7 linked regions of the Rattus norvegicus genome follow. The protein of the gene in region 6 interacts with the protein of the main gene of each other region in a biochemical or structural test. Links are inferred from orthologs where the notes say so. Each region holds a gene or a part of one and is shown on either strand. Other genes may lie near its edges.

What was found.
Region 1: the proteins of Pten (region 6) and Nherf2 form a complex in vitro, tested with the Homo sapiens proteins (2 studies listed by BioGRID and IntAct, with this or other methods). The link is inferred for Rattus norvegicus from reciprocal best matches to the Homo sapiens genes PTEN and NHERF2.
Region 2: the proteins of Pten (region 6) and Tufm form a complex in vitro, tested with the Homo sapiens proteins (2 studies listed by BioGRID). The link is inferred for Rattus norvegicus from reciprocal best matches to the Homo sapiens genes PTEN and TUFM.
Region 3: of the proteins of Pten (region 6) and Mex3c, one has a biochemical effect on the other in vitro, tested with the Homo sapiens proteins (2 studies listed by BioGRID). The link is inferred for Rattus norvegicus from reciprocal best matches to the Homo sapiens genes PTEN and MEX3C.
Region 4: the proteins of Pten (region 6) and Magi3 form a complex in vitro, tested with the Homo sapiens proteins (2 studies listed by BioGRID and IntAct, with this or other methods). The link is inferred for Rattus norvegicus from reciprocal best matches to the Homo sapiens genes PTEN and MAGI3.
Region 5: the proteins of Pten (region 6) and Poldip2 form a complex in vitro, tested with the Homo sapiens proteins (2 studies listed by BioGRID). The link is inferred for Rattus norvegicus from reciprocal best matches to the Homo sapiens genes PTEN and POLDIP2.
Region 7: the proteins of Pten (region 6) and Pdgfrb form a complex in vitro, tested with the Homo sapiens proteins (2 studies listed by BioGRID and IntAct, with this or other methods). The link is inferred for Rattus norvegicus from reciprocal best matches to the Homo sapiens genes PTEN and PDGFRB.

What each region holds. Positions count from the first base shown.
Region 1 is NC_086028.1:14,167,520-14,171,019, forward strand, and holds part of Nherf2 (Na(+)/H(+) exchange regulatory cofactor NHE-RF2), read right to left. Parts: exon of another isoform or gene 2,902-3,500; coding exon of another isoform or gene 2,893-2,901; intron 2,287-2,892; coding exon 2,107-2,286; intron 1,886-2,106; coding exon 1,732-1,885; intron 1,664-1,731; coding exon 1,620-1,663; intron 927-1,619; coding exon 864-926; intron 666-863; coding exon 507-665; 3' UTR 1-506.
Region 2 is NC_086019.1:190,502,875-190,507,172, forward strand, and holds the start of Tufm (elongation factor Tu, mitochondrial precursor), read left to right. Parts: upstream 1-1,498; 5' UTR 1,499-1,844; coding exon 1,845-1,887; intron 1,888-1,992; coding exon 1,993-2,187; intron 2,188-2,656; coding exon 2,657-2,823; intron 2,824-3,044; coding exon 3,045-3,149; intron 3,150-3,232; coding exon 3,233-3,397; intron 3,398-3,516; coding exon 3,517-3,649; intron 3,650-3,732; coding exon 3,733-3,837; intron 3,838-3,948; coding exon 3,949-4,100; intron 4,101-4,204; coding exon 4,205-4,298. UniProt on the Homo sapiens protein: GTP hydrolase that promotes the GTP-dependent binding of aminoacyl-tRNA to the A-site of ribosomes during protein biosynthesis. Also plays a role in the regulation of autophagy and innate immunity.
Region 3 is NC_086036.1:69,441,522-69,445,649, forward strand, and holds the start of Mex3c (RNA-binding E3 ubiquitin-protein ligase MEX3C), read left to right. Parts: upstream 1-1,328; 5' UTR 1,329-1,375; coding exon 1,376-1,544; intron 1,545-4,128. UniProt on the Homo sapiens protein: E3 ubiquitin ligase responsible for the post-transcriptional regulation of common HLA-A allotypes. Binds to the 3' UTR of HLA-A2 mRNA, and regulates its levels by promoting mRNA decay.
Region 4 is NC_086020.1:194,206,438-194,209,792, reverse strand, and holds the end of Magi3 (membrane-associated guanylate kinase, WW and PDZ domain-containing protein 3), read left to right. Parts: intron 1-451; coding exon 452-1,533; 3' UTR 1,534-2,855; downstream 2,856-3,355.
Region 5 is NC_086028.1:63,903,857-63,908,086, forward strand, and holds the start of Poldip2 (polymerase delta-interacting protein 2), read left to right. Parts: upstream 1-1,430; 5' UTR 1,431-1,468; coding exon 1,469-1,629; intron 1,630-2,959; coding exon 2,960-3,041; intron 3,042-4,230. Other genes in the region: Tmem199 (transmembrane protein 199), read right to left, coding at 1,049-1,259. UniProt on the Homo sapiens protein: Involved in DNA damage tolerance by regulating translesion synthesis (TLS) of templates carrying DNA damage lesions such as 8oxoG and abasic sites.
Region 6 is NC_086019.1:240,106,207-240,109,706, forward strand, and holds part of Pten (phosphatidylinositol 3,4,5-trisphosphate 3-phosphatase and dual-specificity protein phosphatase PTEN), read left to right. Parts: intron 1-1,429; coding exon 1,430-1,654; intron 1,655-3,500. UniProt on the Homo sapiens protein: Dual-specificity protein phosphatase, dephosphorylating tyrosine-, serine- and threonine-phosphorylated proteins.
Region 7 is NC_086036.1:56,794,348-56,797,847, forward strand, and holds part of Pdgfrb (platelet-derived growth factor receptor beta precursor), read left to right. Parts: coding exon 1-58; intron 59-555; coding exon 556-767; intron 768-2,942; coding exon 2,943-3,037; intron 3,038-3,500. UniProt on the Homo sapiens protein: Tyrosine-protein kinase that acts as a cell-surface receptor for homodimeric PDGFB and PDGFD and for heterodimers formed by PDGFA and PDGFB, and plays an essential role in the regulation of embryonic development, cell proliferation, survival, differentiation, chemotaxis and migration.

The sequences.
Region 1 (3,500 bases), on a different chromosome or scaffold from region 6:
CTGTTTTATTGCAAGTATTAGGAGTGAGTCCCAAGGGGTTGGGGGAGGGGGCTCCACTATTAACTACAAACATATGTGGAGCTGGAGAACTTTTAGGAAAAAAAAAAAAGCGAAAACATGAATTCCTTTCAGTCAGCAGGCCCAAGGCAGAACGGCTAAGGCCCTTGGCAGACCACCACGCATACTCCCTCTCTCACTCTTTTCTGTCTCTGTGTCTGTCTTGGCTGGCTGTGCCTATCTTTCTTTCTCTCTCTCTCTCTCTCTCTCTCTCTCTCTCTCTCTCTCTCTCCCTCTTTCTCTCTTTCTCTCTCTCGGTTTCTCTCTTCTCTGATCTTGCTATGACAGCCGCAGCACCCAGTGGACAAGACAAGGGTTCATGGGGTCGTGGGTTGGTTTCTGGGTGGTGTAATACCACCTTCCAGTCTGCTGAGGCTTGGGGAGCTCTGGAGAGGCCCAAGGTCCGTGCAGGAAGAGACCGTGGGACCCCTGGACAGGCAGAGAGGGGCTCAGAAGTTGCTGAAGATCTCTCGCTTCCGGTTCCAGTCCATCTGTGGTGCTCTCTTATTGACCCGAGTAGCTCGAGCCTTCTCCTTGGCCTCGGCTGCTGTGGGGCTCAGGTGGAGACCACTTTCCTGGAAGGGGTCTCTCTTCCAAGCACTGCCATCCTGGGGGCAGGCAAGGTACAAACAGTGAGCCTTACCCGTGGCAGCCACTTTCCCAAGGAACTAACACCAGTGGCCACCTCAGGGCCCGGACCACTAGCCCAAGAGGCTTCTTGGAAGTGGTAGCCCACCATCTTGGTAGGTATCTCCACAGAGACCCAATCTGAAGGCCTCCGAAGCCCCATGTGTGAGCAGAGTTACCTCATTGTCCTTCTCTGAGCCTGGCAGGTCGCTTCGGGAAGAGCACACGGAGCCACCATTGAGCTAGGAAACCAAGGGCAGGTTGTGGTTTCAGCATCCCCATCCTGGTGCACCCAGATCTTCACACGCGCACACACACACACACACAAAGCTGCAGCCAGTCCTTGTTCAGCAGTGAGCACACTTCTGTCACTGCCCGGGCTAGGGCACAGCTGGCACCTAACAGCCAAGTCCAACCTGAGCAGTCATGACATGGGAGAGCAGCTGTGGCCATGGGAGTCAGCTATGCGAATTCACCTGTTGTCAAACCAGGACTAGTACCCCAAGAAGGTAAAGATCACTCAGTAGTCATGTAGGAACAAGGCACGGAAAGACGGCCAGGTATCTGCCCACATTGTGCGTCTGAGCTGCTGCCAACCCCTATACAGACTCCACAGTGGCTGGGGTTTTTTTGGTTTTTGGTTTTTGGTTTTTTTGTTTTGTTTTGTTTTGTTTTTGAGACAGGGTTTCTCTGTGCAGTTCTGACTGCCTTAGAACTCACTCCGTAGACCAAGCTGGCCTTGAACTCACAGATCTGCCTGCTTTGGTTCCCAAGTGCCAGGATTAATGCCTGGCTAGCATGGGTGTGTATTTTTGAGGTAACCAAGCCAGATAGGTTTCACAACTGTGCAGAGATCTCCAGGAGAGGCAGCCTCTACCATGTCTAGGGACACGGGTAGAGGTATACCGATGGTCCCCTTGGGCACACCCTCTCACCTGGGCAAGGCTGGTCCCGTTCGTGACTGGTGATGGCAGTGGACCTGTGGGGACAGCAAGTTAGCGGCTGCACTGACTGACCCTACCCTCTGCCCCGAAGGCAGCATCCTACCTTCCACGTGATCCTCGGTGGGTACGACCCGCAACCGTTTGAAGTGTTCATCAGTCTCGGGGTCTACAACCAGCAACCGGGCCTCATCCTCCTGTGCCTTGATTCTGGCAACAACTTCGGCATGGCGCAGCCCCTCCACATTCTGCCCATTCACCTGCCGCCACCCACACAGGGTCAGAAAGGCCTGAGGGGCCCAGTCGGCCCAATGCCACCCAGCCAGGTGTGCCATCAAATATTCATCGAAGCCACCAGCAGCCAAAGCAGCTAGAAGAGTGCCAGCTCAAGTTCCCTGTGTCTTCCCTCCTCCTGCAGGGACCCAGGGCCATACATGGACACTCAGGGACATACAGATACAAACACAGGGACTCAGGGTACCTCAATGAGCCGGTCTTGGGCCCGGAGGCCAGAGAGAGAAGCAGGAGAGCCAGGGTCCACAGAGCGGATGTATTGGCCAGGCCGAGACTTGTCACTGTGCAGGTTGAATCCGTAGCCCTGGGGTCCCCTTCGTAAGTGGCAGAGCCGGGGACGCAGCTCTCTTGGGGGCCCATTGACATCCTGCAGAACCACAGAAAGTGACATCGGGCTCTATCCGCAGCCTCCCAACCCTCATGCTTTAAGGGACCAATCCCCAGATTTCATTGACAACGCTATGTGCCCTGTGACTGAGAGGTTTGGAGGAGTTACCTGTTACACAGCTTTAGCTGTGGGGTTAGGGACACAGCATGTCACCAAGCATGTAAACATCTAATGAGATAGCTGCTGGCAGGACCTATGGAAGAATCCATAGGGGGCACTGTGCACAGCTTGGGGATCTCGAAGGAACCAGAAGGGATAACTGCCCCATCCGAGGCTCAGGAAGCCTACCTTTAGGTTTTGCCTCCCCCTGTCTCCCTTCTGGCCCCCCTTCTCTAGAGCTAGTACCCTGGAGGCCTGAGCAGTCTCGTTTTCTCCTCATGGACTTCAAGAGGCTCCCTGGGTTACCGTGGCAGCTCTTTGCTTTAGAATTCCAGCACTAACTCCTGGAGTCACTGCCCCAACCCCATGGGCCCAGAAAGCACGGGCAGCCAAGTTAGCCTATGATGCTCCCTAACCCACAATATGGAAGGGCTCATGGTACCCACAGGGAATCCCCCGCCACTGCCCCAGGCTGCCCTTCTTTACCTCTGGCATCCTGCAGTAGGTCTCTGGGCCAGGAGGCTACGCAGGAAGGGGCCAGCCTGCTGACCTCCCACCCCAGCCAGGGGCCACGCCAGAGATGCTGCCTCTGAATGGTCAGCAGCTGCCGGTGCCTAGTTACACAGGGCCAGCGGCTGGGGTGGGCAGGCAGGTGGCAGCTCAGGTTTCTGGGTGTGAGTGCAGGTGACAATGTAGTAGCAGGGGGCATTGCCTCCCTTCCACTACTACTCTGCCCCCTCATGGCTGATGCTGAGGGACTCTGGAGAGGAAAGGCTGCTTCCGGTCTCAGGGCAGATCTCTAAGACTCAGGTAACTCCTTTCCCCCAAGCCTGAATACCTCTACACTCCTGCTGTCCACTACCACCACCCCTCTTTCGGTGTTTTGGAGAACCCAGGCTAGCCTCAAACTCCCAACTCAAAGTGATCTTTTGCTTCAGCTTCTGAGTGCTGGAATTATAGGCATAGACCACACGCTTAGCTCCAAAGCCTAAGTGTGGGTTGAGCCATGTCCACAGGCAGCAGCCAAATGCAGGAATAAGTACACTCTTCTATGCTGGACCACTCCTAGTTTTAGGGTTCTGGGATAGCCCTTT
Region 2 (4,298 bases), about 50 Mb from region 6:
TATCTAGTGTTAGGGAATTGAAGGGGTGAAAAAGAGGGTGGAGAAGGGTGGAAGAAAGAAGAACCTAGAAGGTAGCCAAAGTCCAGCTACAGAAAAGTTAAATGGTATCTTGCTGCAAGATGAAATCTCAGCAAGAAATGGAGGATTAGACCCACAAAATCCATCAAAGGATTAACCTCATCTGATCAGAACACACAAGACTAATGACCTCTGGAAGCACTGATGTGAGACTTACAAATTGGACATTGTCCACTCTCACCTCTTGAAATGCTCCACTTCACTGTGCGAATGAACTCCATTCCATAATCACACTTTGCAGGTCTCTTCTGAAAATTTTTAAATGTTTACTTTATGGGTATGAGTGTTTTGTCTGCGTGTACTTAAGTGCACTGTGTGCATGTCTAGAGTCTACAGCCAGCCAGAAGAAGGTGCCAGATTCTCTGGGAACTGGAGTTACAGGTGGTTATAAGCTGCCACGTAGGTGCTGAGAACTGAACCCAGGTCCCCTGCAAGGGCAGCCATCTCTCCTAACTGCTGAGCTGTCTCTTCAGCCCCTCATCTGGACTCCTTAGATAAAAAGATCACCAAGACTGAGAGGAGTCTAGCACAGGATTCTAGTAACACTTCATTGTCCTTTTATCTTTGCCTTTTCAGAGTTTCAGTCTGTGCTCAGGACTTAGGACTGGATTTCCTGCCGCCGTGTCTAAAGTGCTGAGATCATAAGTGTGTACCTGTATCTCGATCCATTTGATTTTTAGAGGAGATGTAATGTAACTTGTTTGTGCTTAGACATTTCTCTAGGGATGGAATTGGGGAATCTACAGCATTTAGAACAAACGCTGTCAACTAAGCTTTGATAGGGTAAGTTTCAGAAAGAAAGTCGGAGTTAAGTAGCTTCTCTTACCAATTCGTGAGAGTTGAAGAAGCGGTGGGAAGAGATGAACGTGACAGTTAAAAGTCACTACTACACATTTGCTGGGTATCCACCACGCGCTCCGCTGTGGAGACAAAAGACTCGGATTATTAGAAACTTCCAAAGCTCGTCCACTTCCTCAATGTCACATGAACAAAATAAGGCGGGAGTAATTACCACTAAGAAAATTTCTCTGGGCCAGGCTGTGCACACCTTTAATCCTAGCACTGAGACAGGAGATCTTTCTAGAATTGGGAGGCCAGCCTGGTCTACATAGAGAGTTCCAAGGCAGCCAAGGATATGTAGTGAGACTCTGTCACGGAAGGAAGGAGAGAAGAAGGAAGAAAGAAAAAAAAAGGGGGGGGGGGACCCTGTTTCTCAAGCGGCCAAAGAACTATTGGAGGGGAGAGTTTAACTTAGGAACCTTAGAAAGCACAGGATTCCTGCAAGAGATATGGGGACTGTATTTAATGGTCAAGGACTGGAACTCCCTGGACTCTATCCCTGACTCTAGTTAATTTTGCCTCTCACAGGCTGGGAGAACTTAACCTATGGACCGAACTCAGCCGGAGCTAATGCCTATAGCAAACTAACCCTAAGCCCGCTGCCCTGAAAACTACAACACCCATAAGCCTTCGGGAGCGCTCGTGCATTGTGGGGCGCTCCGCATTTTCCTCCTAAAGTGGCCCCTCAGGTTGAACTGTGAAAATTCTCCATCATCCCCCGCGAGACACCAGAAACCTCCTTTTCCGCTCCATGCCCGGATATAAGTGGCCGTGGCCATAGAAACTTTCTGCTAGAGGCTCCCAAAGTCGCTGTCCCGACCCTCATTTCCGCCGGAAGTGATCTGCTGTTCCAAGTGCCCGTCCTTCCCTACACGCGCGGGCTCCGGGTCCCTAGTTCTCGGTCCCGGTCGCCGAGTACTACCACAATGGCGGCAGCGACTCTATTACGAGCGACGCCCCGTTTCAGCGGTGAGGGGGCGGGTTGGACGTAGGCAGCCTGGAGACGTGAGGGGCGTGGAGGGTAGCTGGGTTCGGGTCCACTCCCTGATTCCAAGCGCCTTCTTTTCCTCTCAGGTCTCTGCGCCAGCCCAACCCCATTTCTGCAAGGTCGGCTGCGGCCGCTGAAGGCCCCGGCATCGCCCTTCTTGTGTCGCGGCCTAGCAGTGGAGGCCAAGAAGACTTACGTACGCGACAAACCCCATGTGAATGTGGGTACCATCGGGCATGTGGACCATGGCAAGACCACCCTGACCGCAGCCATCACGAAAAGTGAGTAGAGTTGTGTTGGGTTTGGTTGGGGGCGACCGGCAATGCCCCGTCAGCTGGAAGGGCCAGAACCAGGGAGTAGGGTGGGTATCTTGTAGTCTGCTGAAGTTTAGCCTGGCGCCAAAAGACACTTCCGACGAGGGGTGGTTTGGAAGATGCAGGAGACAGGTTTCCCTGTACAAGAAGAGCTCTGTGAGGCACAAATTGCAACAGTTTGAATGGTTTCTATCCTGTGTGGAGTGTTCTGTAAGGAGACGCTGTCAGTGAAGAAGTTGAAGCGTCTTTGATGGGCAGACACCCTGGAAAATTCTTTCTGTTGCTCACTCTCTTCCAAAGTTATCTCTCCTAATAGAATTTGAGATTTTAGATTTATCCATCTAGATTGTTTATGTATGAGGGATCCAGGCTTGTGCCCGAGCCTCGTCTGTAGCTCTGAACCTGAGTTTAGAGGTGTGTTCTCTTCCTCCGGTAGTTCTAGCCGAGGGAGGTGGAGCTAAGTTCAAGAAGTACGAGGAGATAGACAATGCCCCAGAGGAGCGAGCTCGGGGTATCACCATCAATGCAGCTCATGTGGAGTATAGCACTGCTGCCCGACACTATGCCCACACAGACTGCCCTGGTCATGCAGATTATGTTAAGGTGAGGGTTGCTGGGGACAGCCAAAACCTGCTTCCGGTCAGTGGCGGTCTGAGGGGAGGAGGTTATAAGATAGTGGCGGTGTTTGGACGCAAGAACTAAGATTTGTGGCCATGGCTGTGGGTGGTGAGGTAGAGATGGGGATCTTCACAGCTACCTCTAGTTAGTGATGCACGGGTGAAGAGGTCCTTGAACTAAGCTGACCTTCTTCCTCTTCCACTCAGAATATGATCACAGGCACCGCCCCTCTGGATGGCTGCATCCTGGTGGTGGCAGCTAATGATGGCCCCATGCCCCAGACCCGAGAGCACTTACTGCTAGCTAAGCAGGTACTGGGGTCTGAGTGGGATGGAAATTAAGTGAGAAGTTAGATGACTCAGGATAGTTTCTCAGTTTCTTCTCTCGCTTGCAGATTGGGGTAGAGCATGTTGTGGTGTATGTGAACAAGGCAGATGCTGTCCAGGACTCGGAGATGGTGGAGCTGGTAGAGCTGGAGATCCGGGAGCTGCTCACTGAGTTTGGCTATAAAGGAGAGGAAACCCCAGTCATCGTAGGCTCGGCCCTCTGTGCTCTTGAGGTGAAGGCGCATGCTCCTGTTGGTGGAGGATGGGGTAGAGCTTTGCTCTGTACCTGGAGACTTAGCATCCTGTGAAAGGAGCAGAAGTTTCAGGGTCTTATTCTCTCTCTCTCCAACAGCAACGTGATCCTGAGCTAGGTGTGAAGTCAGTGCAGAAGCTTCTGGATGCTGTGGACACTTACATCCCAGTACCCACCCGGGACCTGGAGAAGCCCTTTCTGCTCCCTGTAGAGTCAGTTTACTCTATTCCTGGTGAGGCCCATGCTCACTTACACCCCTCCCCATAGGGGCCATCTAACCCTAGGTCCCCAATAACATGTCCTGTTTCTTTCCAGGCCGCGGCACAGTGGTGACAGGTACACTAGAACGTGGCATTTTGAAGAAAGGAGATGAGTGTGAGTTGCTGGGACATAACAAGAACATTCGCACTGTGGTGACAGGTATAAGATGATTTCAGATCCAAGGGCGCAGTCAGAATGATCCTTTCCCAGGTAGATCTTGTACCTTCATTCTACCTGAGACTACTTTCTCTCCTGTCTTCTTCCTTGTAGGCATTGAGATGTTCCACAAGAGCCTGGAGAGGGCTGAGGCAGGGGATAACCTTGGTGCTCTGGTCCGAGGCTTAAAGCGAGAGGATTTGAGGCGTGGTTTGGTCATGGTCAAGCCAGGATCCATCCAACCCCACCAGAAGGTGGAGGCCCAGGTGAGGGCTCCAAGTGATGTTTGGCAGGGCTGAGCCAAGTTTCCCTTGCATAGAAGCAGGACTTGTGGCCAGGCCATTCCATCCTTATTGCTCCTCTCCTCTAGGTTTATATCCTCAGCAAGGAGGAGGGTGGCCGCCACAAACCCTTTGTATCTCATTTCATGCCCGTCATGTTCTCCCTGACCTGGGACATGGCCT
Region 3 (4,128 bases), on a different chromosome or scaffold from region 6:
GCTCGCCAGCCTGAAAGGCAGTCGCTTCCGCACACCGACCAACGGCCCACGCCTTCAGCCCCAAAGCCCGGCTTCTCAGTCCGTGCCTTCCCTAACACCGCCCCGGGAGGAAAGACCCCGAACCAAGCCGCACGCGCCTGCGCAAACCTCCGCTCCGCGCTCTCCGCTCCTCCGCTCCCGCGCCTTCCTCCCGCCCCGTTCCCCAGGCACCTAGGTACGTCACAATGAGTGGCGTGTAAGTCGAACAATCACAGTTGCTGCCCTCGAGAGCACTCGGGGAAAGAGGAGGGCGGGGCGAAGGGAGGGACCGAAGGAGCCGGCTTCCAGGACTGGCTCGTTCTCGTCACCCAATCAGAACGGTCTGGGGCGCAGAGGGGCGGGGCCTGAGAAGAGGGCGGGGGTGGGGCTGAGGGAAAGGAGCGTGAAGGCTGCGGGACGAGAGGGCGGGCTCCCGGAGATTAAAAGCAGCCAATCAGAGCGCGCCGGCTTCATTCGGAGAGCGGCGTGGGGCGTCGCCGCCGCCGCGCGCGCCGGGGGCTGGTTAAGGCCATGAAACAAAAGAAACCCTGAGAGGGGAGCCGCTGCCGTCCCCACCCACCCACCTAGTTACCTACCTCGGCTCTGTCCCCAGCCCCTCCACCCCGCCCTCGCGCGCTCCGGCGGCCCTGGCGCTCCTCAGCCCAGGGCGCGGGCGCCGCCGCCGCCGCCTCCCCCGAGGAAAGGTGTTTGCGCGCTGAGCAGGGCCCGGGCCCTGTCCGCCATGGGGCTCGCCGCCCGCCGCGCCTGACGCGCCTGCCGCCGCCGCCGCCATTGACAGCGCGCCGCCGCGATGCCGAGCGGCAGCTCCGCGGCCCTGGCCCTGGCGGCGGCCCCGGCCCCCCTGCCGCAGCCGCCTCCGCTGCCGCCGCCCGCGGGAGGCCCCGAGCTCGAGGGGGACGGGCTGCTGCTGAGGGAACGCCTGGCCGCGCTAGGCCTCGACGACCCCAGCCCGGCGGAGCCCGGCGCCCCGGCGCTCAGGGCCGCGGCGGCGGCGGCGCAGTGCCAGGCCCGGCGGGCGGCCGGGCTGGCTCCGGAGGAGCCCGGCCGCCTCGCGACCTCCGAGACGGCGGAGCTGGAGCTGGAGGTGGACGAAGAGGAGGGGGAGGAAGCGGAGCTGGACGGAGAACTGCTGGAGGAGGAGGAGCTGGAGGAGGCTGAGGAGGAGGACCGGCCGTCGCTGCTGCTGCTGTCGCCGCCCGCGGCCACCGCCTCCCAGACCCAGCCGATCCCGGGCGGGCCCCTGGGGTCGGTGCTGCTGCCGGCCGCGGGTTTCGATGCCCGGGAGGCGGCGGCCGCGGCGGCGGGGGTGCTGTACGGAGGGGACGATGCCCAGGGCATGATGGCGGCGATGCTGTCCCACGCCTACGGCCCCGGCGGCGGCGGGGCCGCCGCTGCCGCCCTGAACGGAGAGCAAGCGGCCCTGCTGAGAAGGAAGAGCGTCAACACCACCGAGTGCGTCCCGGTGCCCAGTTCCGAACATGTCGCTGAGATTGTCGGACGCCAGGGTGAGTGCGCCGAGGTCTGTCTGGGCACGGCCCTGGGCGTGGGTGGGAGACGAAAAAGACGAGCGTGCGGCGGAAGAGAGAACCCGGAGAGTCCCCCAAGTCCACCGAGAAGGGGTCTGGGAAGAACCGAGGGTCTCCGAGAACGGGACGGGTCACCTTGCGAAAACCCACGCCGTTCTGCTTCTTCAGGCGGACAAGAAGTGTTAAGTTTCTTGGGTCACCCAGTCTGGTAGTGTTCACTGTAATCGGTGTATTCGTGGAACCCCGGGCTGGCGCGGCCCCAGAAACCTCAGTAAGGTGGTAAGGTCAGGTCAGAAGTTGTGGGTTACAGGATTGTTTCCGAAAGCTTCGAGATTGGAAGTTTGTGTCGCCGAGTGGCCTGTAAAAGCAATCAGCCAGCCTTAGAAGTGCTTGTGCTGATGAGAAATGGACCGACATGGAGGCATGTGCAAAGCTAATTCGGAAGGGAAGAGAGGCCTATCACTACCTCCCTGTTATTCAGAAACTTGGCTTTAGACGAGCACCCCAACTCTGTTGATCTTGGGTTCTCAGCGGACACATCTCTCTTAAAAGGCGATAGTGTCCGTCTTTTAGAACACTTTAGCTTGTACCATGAAGGGAAAACTGGGCATTTAGGTAGTTACGGAACTTTATGCATTTGTGCAGTTCTCCATAAATTTTCTTCACTTGTTAGCACACCCGTTCTGCAGACAGACTCCTCCCACATTGTTCAGACAAAGGATCTATGTCTCAGATTCCAGGAGTAGGTTTGTGAAGGTGGGGGAAGGGGATGCACAGAGTACCTCGGTATCCGACCTTTTTAGGGAAGGTTCTGTATGCCTCGGTGTAGTTTTTGCCCCTTTTTGCTACCTGCTGCTACTGCCGTAATACAACATGGTTGATACATACCTCTTGTTGAGGTCAAAGAGAGATGATGGCACTGCTGGTGGAATGAGCTCATTTTCCCAAGTGGTCTAAAGTACGAAAATACGAGATTGGTGACTTCGCATGTAAGAGGTGGCTCTCCTTGCAGGAGTTTGATAAGAAAAATCTTATTTGGAACCTGGACAGAAAAAAAAAAATAGCTTGTTTCAGACTGCTTGACTAATCAGTTTCACATGTCTCACTTGCCAGTGGTTGCTGATCAGGATAACAGATCATGAGGAAACTCTTTTATGTACATGAAATAAAAATGCATTTTATTTATAGATTCAGAATGAGGTGGCTTTTCATTTAATATCATTGAAAGAGTGCTTGATTTTGCTGGATAATGAGTTTATGAAAAGTAAGTAAGCTAAAAATTTGAGGTTGATTTATACAGAATTTCTGCTCTTTATTAAAAACTAACCAGTTAATAAAATGGCACACAAGTAGTTAACTATATAAAGGCAAACAGTCCCACACACAAGAACATGACCCATAGAGAATGCAGCTTTGCAAACAAAGATGCAATATTGAACAACATGAGGAAAGTGTGGAGGAGGTCCTGCTAGGTGGTGATTGGAAAATCACCCAAATGTCATTAGTGATTAGAATCTGGTAAACTGGGGGATGGAAATGACCTGAGAAGTGATTGTTGAGGCTGTGGAATGTAGAGATTTGAATGGCATGCTGGGAAAACAACATAACTTACTTCAGTGTTCATGTGCTTGACTGCTGAAGCAAAGGAAAAGATCGTTTGCTTGCTAGTTTTACCACATGACAGGTAGTATATCTTGGTAGATTTACTTTAACATGAACTTTTGTCCCTTACATTCTAAAGCACCTCAACTGTAAATTGGCAGTATTTATATACATTGAAGTGGCAAGCTTTTATTTTGTGCCATTGTGTGATGAATGTCTTAGTGTTTCTTCTTGGGCTGTTCTTACTGGTTAATAAGGAAGTGTGAATGCATGTCTTAGAGCATGGAGACAAGTTGCTAGCTGTCGTTGTACTTACTCTTTCCTAGAGCTGCCAGACTGTTAAAGCTCGTCACCTTCCTCTATCTTATCTTAAGGCAGAAAGTCTTGCCCTTTTCCTGTTTGGAGCCTTTCAACTAGTGGATCATTGACCCCTTTGCCATCCCCACACCCCAGCAGCATGGTAATAAACCTGTATTTGCTAACTTACAGAGAGCTAAGTGGCTTCTAATAGTCACAGTCTTTTACTGTGCAAAAACTTCTTGTTGAAAGTACCTGTCCTAAGTAAGTTTTAGAAAGTGAGTTGGGGGACAGGGCAGGGAGGTAGATCATTTTGAGTTTTTGTTTGTTTTGGAGGAGCTAAATGTTCATCCTTAAGAATTAACCATTCCTGCCTTCTCATTCATTACCTGAAGTCCTAATTCTCTATTTGACATCTCTCAATTAGTTTTGGAAATAATTATGTCACAGATGGAGGCATTCATGACTTCAGCTCTGAAGCAAAGAGTATAGGGTAACTGGAATTCTGAGTCACGCATGCAGTTCAGCAAAGCCCTTGGAGATAGCCTCTGGTTCCCTTGTCTTTCAAAAACAACATTGCTCTTACTTTGTTTTTGTCAGTGAGACAGGTTTCCATCATGTAGCCTGGCTGCTGGGCTCACAAACATGTACCTCTCTACCTGAC
Region 4 (3,355 bases), on a different chromosome or scaffold from region 6:
TCCTTTTGACATTAAATTTGACAGCCTAACAAGAAAGTGCCCATAAACCTCATTTTGGTTACCACAGTCTGGTGTTTTTCACTAGTAATTTTGGCCTATCCTTAAGTTAAACAGTAATAATAGTTTAATTAATAAGTTTATTGGATCAGGCACTTTGGTCCACTTTGATTATTTGTATCTTATTTGGCTAAATGAGTAAAGAATTTACAGATCGTATTATGTCTTATAGTACCTACATGAAAAATTATTATGACACAAATCTCCCCTCCGTACATGAGCAGATATCTATAAGCATCTGCCTTTACAGAGATCAGTGTAAACGTGAATAAGCTATGTAACATACTCCTCGGGCTATGCGACCAGTAACATATTCAAATGGCTGTCAGTTCAAACTCACTATTCCTATTTATAGTCCTTGGATCTAACACTGTTCTACTCAATCACTTTTTAGGTGATTGGGATATTTATAGTCCTTCATCTTCCAATGTCATTTATGATGAACAGCCACCACCTCTCCCCTCTTCACATTCTGCTGCCACATTTGAAGAGTCTCATGTGCCAGTAACTGAAGACTCTCTGATTAGAGTTCAGACATGTGAAAAGGCAGAAGAATTAAAGGACACTGTACAAGAAAAGAAAAGCACTTTAAATGGAAGCCAGCCTGAGATGAAGTATCAGTCTGTCCAGAAAAATGTGAGTAAGAAGGATCCATCCAGAAGTCATGGGCATGGTGACAAGAATCTACCTAAAGGAGAAAATGGTGTTACACGGAGAGGTAGATCTGCTAGTCCCAAAAAGTCAGTTAATCGACATTCAGAGGAACATCTGGAAAAGATTCCCAGGCCCCTTAGAAGTGACCCCAAAGGAAAATCTAGAGACCGGTCACTCAGCCCTAGGAAAGGAGAAAATAAAGGTCAGGTCACCATTAAGGCGGGCTCTGGACAAGATCCCTGTAGAAAAGACAGAGGACGGTCTTCTAGCCCCAGGAAGCAGCAAAAGATTGGAGGCAACAGCCTGTCAAACACTGAAGGCAAATTATCAGAGGCTGGGAGCCGAAGAGCAGCAGGCCTCTCTAGTGACAGCCCTGAACAGCTCCCAGAGGGGAAAGAAAAGTCAGGGGTCAGCAGGAAAGATCTGAAGCTCAGTCAGCTGGGGAAAAACAGAACAAGGTCTCCAGAGAAAAGGAGCAGCAAAGTTGATGAAGCGTCTCTCCCATCCAAAAAGACTAGTGACACTGCTAGTAGGGTAGTGTCTGAAAAGGAGAAAGGAAGGAAGCCAGGCACAGGAGAAAGAAGTAGAGACAAAACAGGAGAAAGCGTCCAGACCTCAGCAAAGCCGCTCACGCAGGAAGCGGGAGAGAAGATGGCATTAAGCAAAGCATCAGAGGTCACTGACAGAGGCAAGGAGCGTGCAGGGGGCGCACCTGAGAGTAGCTCTCCAGTCAAGAAAGCACCCATCACTCCAGGACCCTGGAGGGTGCCACGTGCAAATAAAGTCACAGGCACTGCTGGCATGGCTGACAAACAGCTGTGACCTTTCGTATAAAACAAAGAAAAGTAAGTTGTAATCTTGACTAACACAGAATTCTTTGAAGGTGGAGAGTTGTGGTTTTCCCCCAGAAATTCTTCAATACCAGGTAGCCAGGCTGCATGAAGGGCTTCTGAGATTGCCAAGACCCACCTGGCCCTGGCTGGCTGCCCTTCCTCATGCTCAGGAAGGAGCTGCATCCAAGGGCTCACCTGCCATGCCCTGCACAGGCCGCTCGCTCAGCAGTGACATGATCTTAACAGTGTGGTCACAACTCACTTTGTGTTTGTGCCAAGTTATCTACTGTATCATGTCTGTTTTATCCTTCCCATTCTGATCAAACAGTTCAGTTTGGCTTGAAGATGTTTTCAGTAGCATGTTGCATGTTTACAGACGGGAATATGTGAGTCCTTGCAGAGGAAGAAATTGTTAGCTCATCATTAAAGTGGGCACTTGCCTCTTCTCACAGCTTCTGACCATCCTAGTTTAAAAATGCAATTCACAAACATCACATTACAGGAAAGGTCAAATATTAGAAATGCTTTTTTTACGGCTAAGTAAGGTGTTTAAAGTAACTGTTAAAGATACTCCTTACAGTTGAATGCTCAAACGAGAACGTACTGTAAGCAACAGAATTAACAACCTCCTGCCATGTTAGCCATCGCCTATGTAGTGACAGTGTCTCAGATCAGCGGTAGCCTTGGGGGAAGTACAAGAGCATGTAGAAGCACTGCTTGTTTCTCTTTAAAGAAAAGCTCTACTACATCTGGAGATTTTGAATATTAATCACTAGTCTTTAATATATTGTTGAAGACCCAAAATATCATAGATTTAGTGAGGGACTTGATCACGAGACCAGTTCTACAGTCCACGGCCAGAAAAAGCACCAGCCCTTGCCACGTAGGAGTCAGGAGGGGCAGGCATGCGAGCGTCAGCATTTAGAAGCAGAGCCTGTCTTGGGCTTCCTCCACAAGTCAGGACTAATATGGTATAGACTGTGTGTATTGAAACTTTAATTTTTAGCTAATTATTTAAAAACAAAGTTTTCAGAGTTCTTTTTAAAGTCTAATAAAAATGTTTGCTGAAAGTTGGAGACAGTTCTTAAACTCATACAATAGATCCAGACATCAGCTCCCTGACGCAGCATTCAGAAACATCTATAAATACAGACATTTCTCAGAACTGTCTATCTGTGGAGTATTTAAACACTAAACACTCATTCTGTTACCTTGTGAGTCTGACAAATTCCACTGTGACAACTGTACTGGCCCCTTATGACACATGCTTCCATCCAGAACTGTGTTGAACCCATCTCAAAACTACTTGAATAGCGCAAATTAGGAGGCTTGATACTAAGAATTTAGTACCACAGAAATGATTTATTTTCCCTATAGTTCACAATTAGTGATACAAATCCTATTTTTATTGTTAACCTGTGACATAACTTTGATGTCATGTTGTCAATATGATGTGGCTCTTCCTAAGTAACACGTCACTGTACTGATTATATACTGACTTAGCAATGTGGCCTTGGAGTGCTGAGCAGAATATGGATGTACTGGTTGTAAATGTTTATATCTGTACAGTACCTTTATATATACACTTGAGGTTCTGATTAGAGAAAGATCTGTAAATCGCTCGTTATTTTTTATATAGATATTAAAAAAGAAAGAAAAGTTTGTCTTGCTTTTTTTTTTTTTTTAACCGTCAGCACCATGTAGACTTGCAGTTTATGGAACCTTGTCCCACCGTCATCCCTGTCATCGAGGACTTACAATGGGAAAGACAAGGAAGTGTCTCTCCAGTACTAACATGGATAAAGCCTGTC
Region 5 (4,230 bases), on a different chromosome or scaffold from region 6:
TATGATCAGTCTAACCTTAAACTCATTAAGATACACCTGCCTATCTCTTGAATTCTCATGTACCTCATCTAGACCAAAATTCACAATCTTACTGCCTCAGCCCCTCAAATGCTAGGATTTCAGGCATATGCCATGCCCAGCCTTGTGATCATTTTCTTTCTCTCCTTGTGTTTATTCATTTATTTTTCATTTTACTCAAGATAATTTTCAACTAAGAAAAATCTAGGGCAATTCCACCTAAGTATATTTTTAGTGCCACACGGTTTCACTTTAACAGTCAGTTTTCAATTACCCTACCAATGGTAAGTTATTTCTGTGAAAATAATAAATCCATCCTAGACAGAGACAGGATTGAGTTGTGATGCTAATGACTCAGAGGACACTGTATTAGAGGATCTTTCTCTAAGGTTCTCTTAAGTCTGAATAGTTGATCATCTACCTTTTGCACTTCTGGCCAGGATATGTCAATTCTGGCAAAACATGTTACATGCTAGTTTATCCTATTCCCTACCTTGACAGATAAATAGGTCTGAAGAGGAGAAATGACCTCTTTAAAATGTCTAGAACTAGATGCAACTCTCCAGTTCAGATCTTTCAATCTTTCAATAGTTTTGTTGTTGTTGTTACCGTTTCCCTACCCTCACCCCTAAACTGGGGGCCTTGTATTCTCTCCCTTTGCCTTTGAGATGGAAGGAAAAATCATTTTTCCCAAACAGGATAAGTTCACTATAGATACATGGCCTCAAAATGGAGAAACTCAACCTGGCAGATAGTACTGGGCTAGACTCTCGAGTTCCTAAAAAGTCACATGGACTTAGGTGGACCTAAAAAAGGACTCAACAAATTCTGAAAATACGTTTTGTCATACACGAAGAATTTTCACGGAAGTTAAAATGGAGTCCTAAACCCAGGGTTTATGAGAAGGCTTTTGGAGTGGATAAATGAGAACTCAGTAGGCATTCGAGAGTGATAGGAAAAAAAAGAAGAACGACTCAGAGGGGATTAGATCTGAAAATAAGGCGGCGACTCTTGATTGGGGACCGCTCACTTCTTTCTCTCAGGTGCTGATGCAGATCTCGGATCAGACGGAAGGAAACCAGGCGCCGGGGGCCCGTGGCGTTATCACTGCCCGCGTGTTTCTTCCCCAGAGCAGCCTCGAGCTGGGCACGCAGCTTTCGGGGCAGCTGCTCCCGTTCCAGTTCTCCGCCAGGATCCAAAGCGCGAACGAGTCGTTCGCCAGCAAGCAAGGAGGACGCCATTTCTGGCTCACGCTCTGATCAGGTGATCCCAAACTCGGACTTCCGCCCACCAGCGCCGGATGTAGCTGGAGGAGCACACGCGGCCGCGGGGGGCGGACCCGAGGGCGAGGGAGGGGCTTAGGCGCGGGGCAGTGTGGGGCGGGGGCGGGACGGCGCCCCGCCGCGGGTCGGGCCCTGTGTCAGCAGCCGAGCGGGCGCTCGGGCGGGACATGGCTGGCTGTGTGGCCCGACGGGCCCTAGCAGTGGGCAGCCGCTGGTGGTCTCGGTCACTGGCCACGACCCGAGGGTCGAGGCCACTGTGTGCGGTCGGTGGAGCAGGGGCCCTTCCGCCGGTGGCCACAGCGACGGCACGAAGGCATCTGTCGTCCCGGTGAGGGACGGAAAGGGGGACAGGGAACCGGGCCCAGACTCTAGGGAGCATTTCCTATCTAGCCGCTAAGGAAGCCAGGAGGCCTGACTCTGGGCAACCGGAGTGTCACCTGAGAAAGGGTGCGGAGCATGGAGCCGACATGCGCTGCTTGGGACATGTGCCAAGAGCAAGAAGGGAGCACTGCCCAGGACCCTGGCAGTGCAGGGAAGCTCCGAGGGAGAACAAGTAACTCTTCTTAAGGGAATCCTGCCATCCTGGCTGGAGTCCTCAGCACCAGTAGTGGGCTGCCATTTAATGGCCCTTTTGGGTCAGTGGCTCTCAGATGCTTTTATGGGGGAAACAAGTCGACTTAAGTGCCTACCTTTGTGGGTCCTACTTCCATGTGACCTTGGGGAGACTGATTTTGCCCATGTGACTTGGGAAATAGGGTTCCAGGCTTGGGGGTGGTGGTGTAAACAAAGCCTTGTAGGGATCAGACAGGACTGAAAAGTTGGGTATGAAGTTAACATTTCCAAAATAAAATCGCAGTGCTCTGACGGTCCATAGCAGAATCAATCCTATTTAAAAGGTTAACTGACCTGATGGTGGTTGAGGGAGGTATCGGCTATTTAAGACAAGTAAGTGTGAAAAGACACTGGGTGGAGAGACTGCAGTAAGTACTAAGTGTAGTGCTGTGTGAGGTGCCTTTGGAAGTCTAGAGATGCTAGGTCCTGGGGTCATGTTTACAGCACAGGTGAATGTGTAGAATTAGGAGAATCATGCTATGTAGCCAGGTTGGCCCAGAACTTGTTATTTATTTTCCAGCCTTAGCCTTAAGAGCCCTGGGATTACAGATGTGTGGAACCATGTTTGGTTCAGAACAGTTTGTCAAAGTAGCCAATGCCAGGCATAGTGAATACACTGTCAAGGAGCAGTGGGTAAGAGAAACAGAAGAACTGCTCTGCTCAGAACGAATGCTCTTACACACGAGGCATTTCTCTCAGAGAACAGAGTCTTTCATGGACTCAAGGCATGCATGGCAGTAGCTAAAATACAAAGTTGGAAGGATGGTTAACCCACTGTTAACCAGGAGGGCGGGTGAAAGTGTGCACGACCTTGGGAATGCTAAGTAAAGACCGGAGGAAGTAAGTCTGGAGTAGTTACACAAAACCCTGGAAGACTGGGAGAGCCGTCACCAAGCGGATGCCTAAGGCTGGATCTTAAAGGAGGAAAAGCAGCATCCTGATCCTCCGCTGTCATTGCCCTGGTCCTGCAGTGTGCTAAGGGGCTTTGTTCGTTTGTTTGGCTTTGCCTAACTGAGGACTGCTATCTTCTTTTCCTTCCCGATCAGAAACCGTGCTGAGGGCAAAGTGCTGGAGACAGTTGGTGTGTTTGAGGTGCCAAAACAAAATGGAAAGTATGAGACGGGACAGGTATGTATTGCGCTGGGTCAGTGCCCATTTTCATGGACTATTCTGTTTCTGAGTGGAGCTCGATTTGGTCAGAATACTGAATCTTAGTGGTATTTGTATCTTTTCATTCCATATCCCCTTGCCCACCAGTCTTTTTTTTTTTTTTTTAATGTATTTATTTTTTTATGTATGAGTATACTGTTTCTGTCTTCAAACACACCAGAAGAGGGCATCAGATCTCATTACAGATGGTTGTAAGCCAGCATGTGGTTGCTGGGAATTGAACTGAGGATCTTTGGAAGTCATGCTCTTATCTGAAACATTTCTCCAGCCCACCCACCAGTCTTACAGACAGATGCTATACTGCTGAGCTATCCCCCCAAGTTTCAATCCATTTTCATTTTGATGGTAGACTAAGAGCATACATTTGGGGCTTGTTTTGAGGGGCTGTGTAGCTCAGTTTAGCCTTGAACTCTTCTATAACCCATGGTGACCTTGAACTTGCGATCTTATTACTTATGGAACACTGGGGTTGCAGGTATATGCAACCACGTTCAACTCAGAACCACAAATTTAAAAAAAACGTTTCTTTTTTACATTTATTTAGAATGAGTGTGTGCACATGTGTGCGTGTGCCCAGGCACAGAGATCAAAGGGCAGCTTGTGGTAGTGTGCATGCTTGTGGGCGAGTGCATGTGCACTGGAGTCATACGCTTCTAAAAGATGAGATTTCTGGAGATAGGTGTATAGTAGCATCTAATCCCAGCACTCCAGAAGCAGAGCCGGAAGGATCACTTCAATTTTGAGGTCTAATGTGGTGATACTCTTAAAACACAGTTAAGAGGCAGGCGATATGGCTTACCTGCTAAAAGCACTTGCTAAGGAAGCCTAGAAGTAAAGACGGAGGACAGAGCTGATTCCATAGTCGCATAGCACCAGGGAGTCCAATGCCTCGCACTTCCTTGGGTCCCTGCACTCACATACACACATATGGATACCTGCACATACCTAACTAAGTAAAACAAATCCTTAAAACAGACAAAAAAAAAAAAAAAAAAAAGTAATCAGTGGCTCCACACTGGACTAAGACGTGGGCAGATCAAGGAAAGTTCTTAGAGGCCAAGGTGACCTGAAGAAGGGTGAGTGGGGTCAGCCCAGTGAAGAGGCATGAGAATACTTCAGTTGTCTGGGTTAAATTTAGTGTTTGATG
Region 6 (3,500 bases):
GGCTTTATATTGTTTGTAAAAATAGATAATTACCTCAGTGTCTCCTTGTAGTTTTAGAGATGTGCTGTTTCTTACTCCTGATCTCTGAAGATTGGATACTTATAATATATTTATATATCTTAGATTACATTCCATAAATTTCCATTTATTATAGCTTTTCCTTACTAATTACATGCCTGTTCTGATTTAAATAAAAACAGTTTTAGAAAATCAGTGCACATCAGTGAGCCACATTTTGTAAGTTTAAATAATATTATCTTGTTTTCCTCTAAGTAAAATACAATTGCCAACTGAACAACATTAAAATAATTGAGATCAATAAGGTTTTAAAAAGGCTGAATACACGTCTCAGCAGTTAGGAGCCCTGGTTCCTAGCAGGGGGAGAGGGGATGGGATAGGGGTTTCTAGAGGACCCAGGTTTGATTCTCAGCACCTATATGTTGCCTTACAGTTATCTGTAACACCAGTCTTGGGGGATCTGAATCCCTCTCTGGCTTCCACGGGCACTGGGCATATCTGGGCAAAACTAAAGTTGTCATAGGGAACTTAGTCTAAAGTTTCTAGGGCTTCGGTTGTTAGTTTCTAGGGCTTTGGTTGTAATGACACCTGATCTTTGTTTATATCTATATACATATAAACTCAGAACATTTTTAAAATTCCGTATTAGAATAGGAAATAGTTTTCTTAGGATTTGGGATCCATCCCATATACAGTCACCAAATCCAGTCACTATTGCAGGTGCCAAGAAGTGCATGCTGACAGGGGCCTGATATAGCTGTCTCCTGAGAGGCTCTGGCAGAGCCTGACAAATACAGAGCTGGATGCTTGCAGCCAACCATTGGACTAAGCAGGGTTCCCCAATGGAGCAGTTAGAGATATGAAGGAGCTGAAGGGGTTGCAACCCCATAGGAAGAACAAAATATCAACCATCCAGACCCGCACAGAGATCCCAGGGACTAAACCGCCAACCAAAGATAGACAGACCCATGTCTCCAGCTGCATATGTAGCAGAGGATGGCCTTGTTGGGCATCAGTGGGAGTGGAGGCCCTTGGTCTTGTGAAGGCTCGATGCCCCAGTGTAGGGGAATGCCAGAGCAGGGAGGTAGGAAGGAGTGGGTGGGTGGGAGAGCACCCTCTTAGGAGCAGGGGGAGAGGGAATGGGAAAGGGGGTTTCTTGAGGGGAAACCAGGAAAGGGGATAACATTTGAAATGTAAATAAAGAAAATATCTAATAAAAGAAAAGATAAAAGAGATAAAAGTAAGATAACAGAGTTTACATGATTATTTTTTATTCATAACATAACTTAGTGAATAAGAATATTCCACAAGGTGTTTGCCTTCATTTTAGAATATGGTTTATATGTTGACTATTTGTGGTACATTTTTAAATAAGTGAAATACATCTTTCATTTCTTTCTTTTCTTTGTAGGACAAAATGTTTCACTTTTGGGTAAATACGTTCTTCATACCAGGACCAGAGGAAACCTCAGAAAAAGTGGAAAATGGAAGTCTTTGTGATCAGGAAATCGATAGCATTTGTAGTATAGAGCGTGCGGATAATGACAAGGAGTATCTTGTGCTCACCCTGACAAAAAATGATCTTGACAAAGCAAACAAAGACAAGGCCAACCGATACTTCTCTCCAAATTTTAAGGTCAGTTAAAAGCATTCTGGGGTGGGAGGGTGTGTTTTCTTCTGACTGAAGGTGAAGACCTAGGGTTGTTGTAGTGTTGTTTAGTGTGTACTCCCGAGAGGTTATGCAGCCTTTCCTTTCTGCTCATGAGTCCACTTATTCTCTCGCTATTTCTTCTCTCCCTCACCACCTTGAGTCTTCCCCTTTAAATTCTTTTTTCTTTCTTTTTTTTTTTCCCTTTTTTTTTTTTTTTTTTTTTTTTTTTTTTGGGTTCTTTTTTTTCGGAGCTGGGGACCGAACCCAGGGCCTTGGGCTTCCTAGGTAAGCGCTCTACCACTGAGCTAAATCCCCAGCCCTAAATTCTTTTTTCATTCTGTTGTATTTCTTTTATTCACATGTAACAAACTCAACTATAGATTATATTATTATAACATAATAACAATGCTAATAAAAATAGAGAATGACATTCACATGTTAAGTGAACTTAGACCTAATTAATATTTCAATGCCTTTGGATCTCGAGTATGTTTTTAAGTTGCCTTTAGAATCCTCATTTTTCATTTTTTCCTTTTCCACAAATTGATATTCCTATCAGCCATCCGCTTTCTGATTTTTTTAGGTAGGGTCTTGGTATAATGGGCACAGGCTGGGCTTGAACTGCCATGTCTCTGCCTCAGCCTCATCTGGCAACTATTTGCTTTTAAAATGTATTCCTCTCTAGTAAACATTACTGTTTTAATGTTTCTCCGGCAATGTACGTCAGTGCTTGCCTAACATGAGTGATGCTGAGTTCAACACCAAGTACTACAAAACAATCAATAAAACAGTACAGTGTAGAAAAGTTACTGTAGATAAAGACTGTTTTCATTGTCACTGAACAAACAGATAGATCAAGGTAAGTGCTGTGAAGCCGGCAGCCGGCAAAGGCGGTCTGGTCAGGTGGGTGGTGGGTGTGTAGAGAGGGCGAGCACAGAGTGAAGTGAGCACACTTACACCTGTGAGCTGTGCACAGCTTGCAGAGCAGCTATTTGGACAACAGAGGAAGAGTAGATAAGAGAATTGAGGCATGCGTGAACTTGGTACCTCTCTGTGGCATTCAGAAGTCATTTCTACTGAGTCGCAGGGACCCGGTCTTGGTGTGAAGGTGTGGGGTGCCGAGCACAGAGAAGATGTGGTCGGAGTTGGCTTTAACCGTCCACCTCACTTCCTGAGTCGAGCCTGGACCGAGAACTAGGGAGAGGCAGCGGGCTCGAAGTGGCAGGGAGAGACAATGTGAGCCTGATGGGTAGTGCACATAGAAGGCGGGCTCACGCAATGGCAGGAGCAGTGCTGAATGAGTAACTCACTTGGACGGGGATTCTTAAAGCAAGGGTCAGTTATGAGAACAACTGAAAATGACCTGAATAATGGAAAAGAAAGTGTAGATCTCCTGTCAACTGTTCACCAGAGATTGTCCTTTAGCATGTTGCCTGGACTTCTGGGTTTTTGTTGTTTCTTTTAAAATGGAAGTACTTAAGGAGTGACTAACAGTGACTGCAGCATGGAAAGGCCACTGGTCCATCTGCGGACCACTAAGTGGTCTGTTAGCTTCCTCCATTCTCTCTAGAGGAAGATTTTAGAGCTAGTTGATCTTGTATACATGATTATTAATCAGTATTGTGTGTGTCACTAGTGTAAACATGGAGTTGTTTCAGAGATTGTAAGAGAAATGCTTTTGAAACGTAAGCACTTGTAAATTGAATTTTGTGTTTAGTGAGTCCATTGCCTTCAGTTTGCACTTTTATAGAATTATACAGTGCTTATAGCTGATGTGGTTTAAAAATAGCTCTCAACTCATCAGTGTGTCTTTTGAGTGCACAGTAGGCAG
Region 7 (3,500 bases), on a different chromosome or scaffold from region 6:
GGGGCCGGGGCATGCCTCAGCCAAATGTCACCTGGTCTACCTGCAGAGACCTCAAAAGGTGAGCACACCTTGAGGCCAGGCCTCCCAGAGTATATGCAGCTGCCTAGAATGCTCCTTTAGGGTAATCTAGACCGGCCTCTTCACCTGAGAGGTCCAGGCCACATCTTTGATCATTCCTCTGCCTTCCGGGAGATACCTAACCCACATTTCTCCTTTTCTTACCTTGATCCTGAGCCATCCTCAACCTAGGAAGGTGCAGGGTCTGGCCCCCAGAGGTGTCTAGTTCACCCAGTGGATATGCGGGGATTGCCTCTCTATCCTTAACACGTTGAGTAACCTTGAGTCAAATGAGTGAATTTTGCCATTCAGGAGTCTCAGTTCTGGACTGGGAGCGCCCCCTGCTGGCCCATCTAGGCAGCACAGTAGGAATCTGCTTAAAGAGCAAGCAAAGAAATCAAACGTTTCTACCACCATTCACAGTCTTACTTTCCCCCACCATTTGCAGAGAGGAAGCTAAGAGAGTCTGCAAGCCAGTCCTTTTGTGTCTCCTGGCAGGTGTCCGCGAAAACTGTCACCCACACCCTTGGGGAATAGTTCCAAGGAGGAGAGCCAGCTAGAAACGAACGTGACTTTCTGGGAGGAAGATCAGGAATATGAGGTGGTGAGCACGCTGCGCCTGCGTCACGTGGACCAGCCACTGTCAGTGCGCTGTATGCTGCAGAACTCGATGGGCAGAGATTCACAAGAGGTCACCGTGGTACCACACTGTGAGTGCCCTAGCTGCGGATGGCTCTGATGAGCTCTCACCCCTTCCTTGATCCCACCTCACTGAGTCCGAGTTCCCAAAGCAGATCAAGTCAGCATACTCAGAAGAATGTTACAAAGTCTACCAGAGTAGGTTCCTAGGTGCGCACACGAAATGTGACATTGACACAAGTGCACAAACACAACTTTATACACCACAAACACGAAACACATTGACATTTAGGTGTAGAAAGTGAAACTGGCACGCGAGATGCATGCTGTAAACTTGCATGAGCCGGTTGATACTGGGAGTCAGGCGTACACTCTTCACGGGCACGCCGTCTGCGCCGAGGAGGCTTTGTCTCCAGAGTATATGCGTGTTAGCATCTACTCAAGCATACCCAGTGCTGTTCGTGGATGTGAAACTGCAGAATATATTTTTGTGAGCCGTGCGTATGAGACCAGCCAGATCTAATATATCAAATGCTGAAAGATGAGTGGGGATTAGCTAGCTCGTGAGGGCTGTGGAAAAGCCTAGCATAGGCTCTGTGTGGGTTCTGAGGAGTTGAAGCAAATGAGCCCGGATGCAGGGCACACTGTATGTGGATTTGGAGTAGGGGAGGGATTAGGGAGGGAAGTGGTAAAGAATGGGGCTACAGGATGCAGAATACAGCTACAAGATACAGGATACAGGATACAGCTGCAAAGAGTATTTCGTAGACAATCAAACACAGACCCATGCACACTGCGCATATACCTGAAAACAGAGACATGCACACACCCACGCAGGTGTACACACACAGAGGCTTCCGCAGGCTTGTACATGTCTGCTTATGTACATGCCTGTCACCTGCCCTTAGAGGAAGGGTGAGCTTTTAAAGCATCCTTACTGGGACTGCAGAGATGGCTCAGAGGTTAAGTGCACTTGCTGCTCTTCCAGAGGCTCTGAGTTCCGTTCCCAGCACCCACATCAGGCAGCTCACAACCACCTGTAGCTCCAGATCCCGTGGATCTACAGCCTTCTTCTGACCTCTGTGAGCATCCACATGTGTGGCATTCTGTCATACAAATGCTCACATATATACACACAAAAATATATAAGATATGTGTTCATTGCTTTAGGCATCGCAGATTTCTTTGCACTTGCACTGCCAAGCATATAGTCCTTACGGTCTAGGTGTTAGAAAAATTAAGTGCCCTTATTCCCCCATATTCTCATCTATGCACACAGGTAGACTAGCTCTGGGCCCGAGTAAATGCAGAGGAAAAGTCATGTGTGACGCCTGCACAGGACGCCATGTGCTATTACACGGAGACCCAGCTATTACACGGAGACCCAGGATGACTCTGATGGGTCTCTGGAGAGTGCAGGCTTCCTTTGTAAGACCAGGATGTAGGGATGTAGGGAAGAGAGAACAGAAATGTCAGCCAGTGACCCTGAGAAGGAAAAGATGGGGCTAAGCCAGAGGAAGGCTCCCTGGGGAACAGAGGAGGGCAGGAAGAAGCAAATTCCCAGAGCACAACAGCTCCTGCTAAGTGGGAGAGGACAGGGGATGGGGGTTCAGCCAGGCTGACTAGGGAGGTGATGTAAACAGTGAGGCTGAAGTCTTGGGCTAGAGAGGACTCAGGGCTCAGGGAGACCTGCATGTTCACCTCAGGGCCCCGGGAGGTGCATACTGACTGTGCCACACACACTAGTGGTCCCCAGGCTGGGGCTGGGAGGAACAGACTTCTGGTGGTGGATTATTCAGGCTGCTGAAGTTCAGAGTCAGCTCCTTCGGGAGTCACTCGGTGAGTGCCTCAGCCATTTGGTTAGGAATGGCTCTTAAATCTATGACCCAGGAATGACTGCCCAATAGGGCATGGACTCAGAGAAGAGGGGGTCGTGGCCTGGTCCCCAGAGTGCCTAATGCTGTGAGAGGCATAGGTCATTCTCAGGAACCAGAAGAGAGTTCCCCAGCCTAGCTGGATGTTGCAGAAGCCAGCCTGAGCCTGACTGTCATCTGAGGGGAGTCACTGAGGGGCCCTGGGCTTGTAGGAAAGACCAGAGTGTAGGCCCTGAGGTCAGATATCTAGGCAGTAAGAGCTCACGTGCTCAGCAGAGCAAGTCCAACGGATCTGTGATGCTCCCAGCAAGATGGGGAAAGCAGCTACCCAGATACTGTTTGCTTATGGCCTACTCTGGTCTTTGTCCTCAGCCTTGCCTTTCAAAGTGGTGGTGATCTCAGCCATCTTGGCCTTGGTGGTCCTTACTGTCATCTCTCTCATCATCCTCATCATGCTGTGGCAGAGGGTAAGCCTGTGTATGGGTGCAGAGTGGTACCCATATTTCCTCACGGTCTCCACTGTATGTTACACAATCCAGCCCATAGGAAAGGCACAACACAGAGTTCAGCCTGGAGCTGACTTAGAGCGTTGCTGGGTCTCCAGCTCCCTCAGTCCTTACTGGGCTGACGTGATCAGTCCAGGACTCTTGCCCCTGCTCTTTCCTCTGCCTCAGTCCTTCCCGCTCAACTCAGTCCTGGTGCAAATGGTGCATTGTGGGTGGACTATCATGGCCCCAAGATTCTTTCAGCTCTAACCCATAGAGACTGCCATGAGTCACAAGAATGCAATCTGACCCCAGGATTCTGTTCTGACGCTCTATTCTGACATTTCCCCTTTCTGTAACTCCAAACACTTAAGATTCCGGAATTGGGACTCTAGTCCCCCTTCATCCTGTCATTATAAGATTCCAATCCTGTGACTCCAAGATC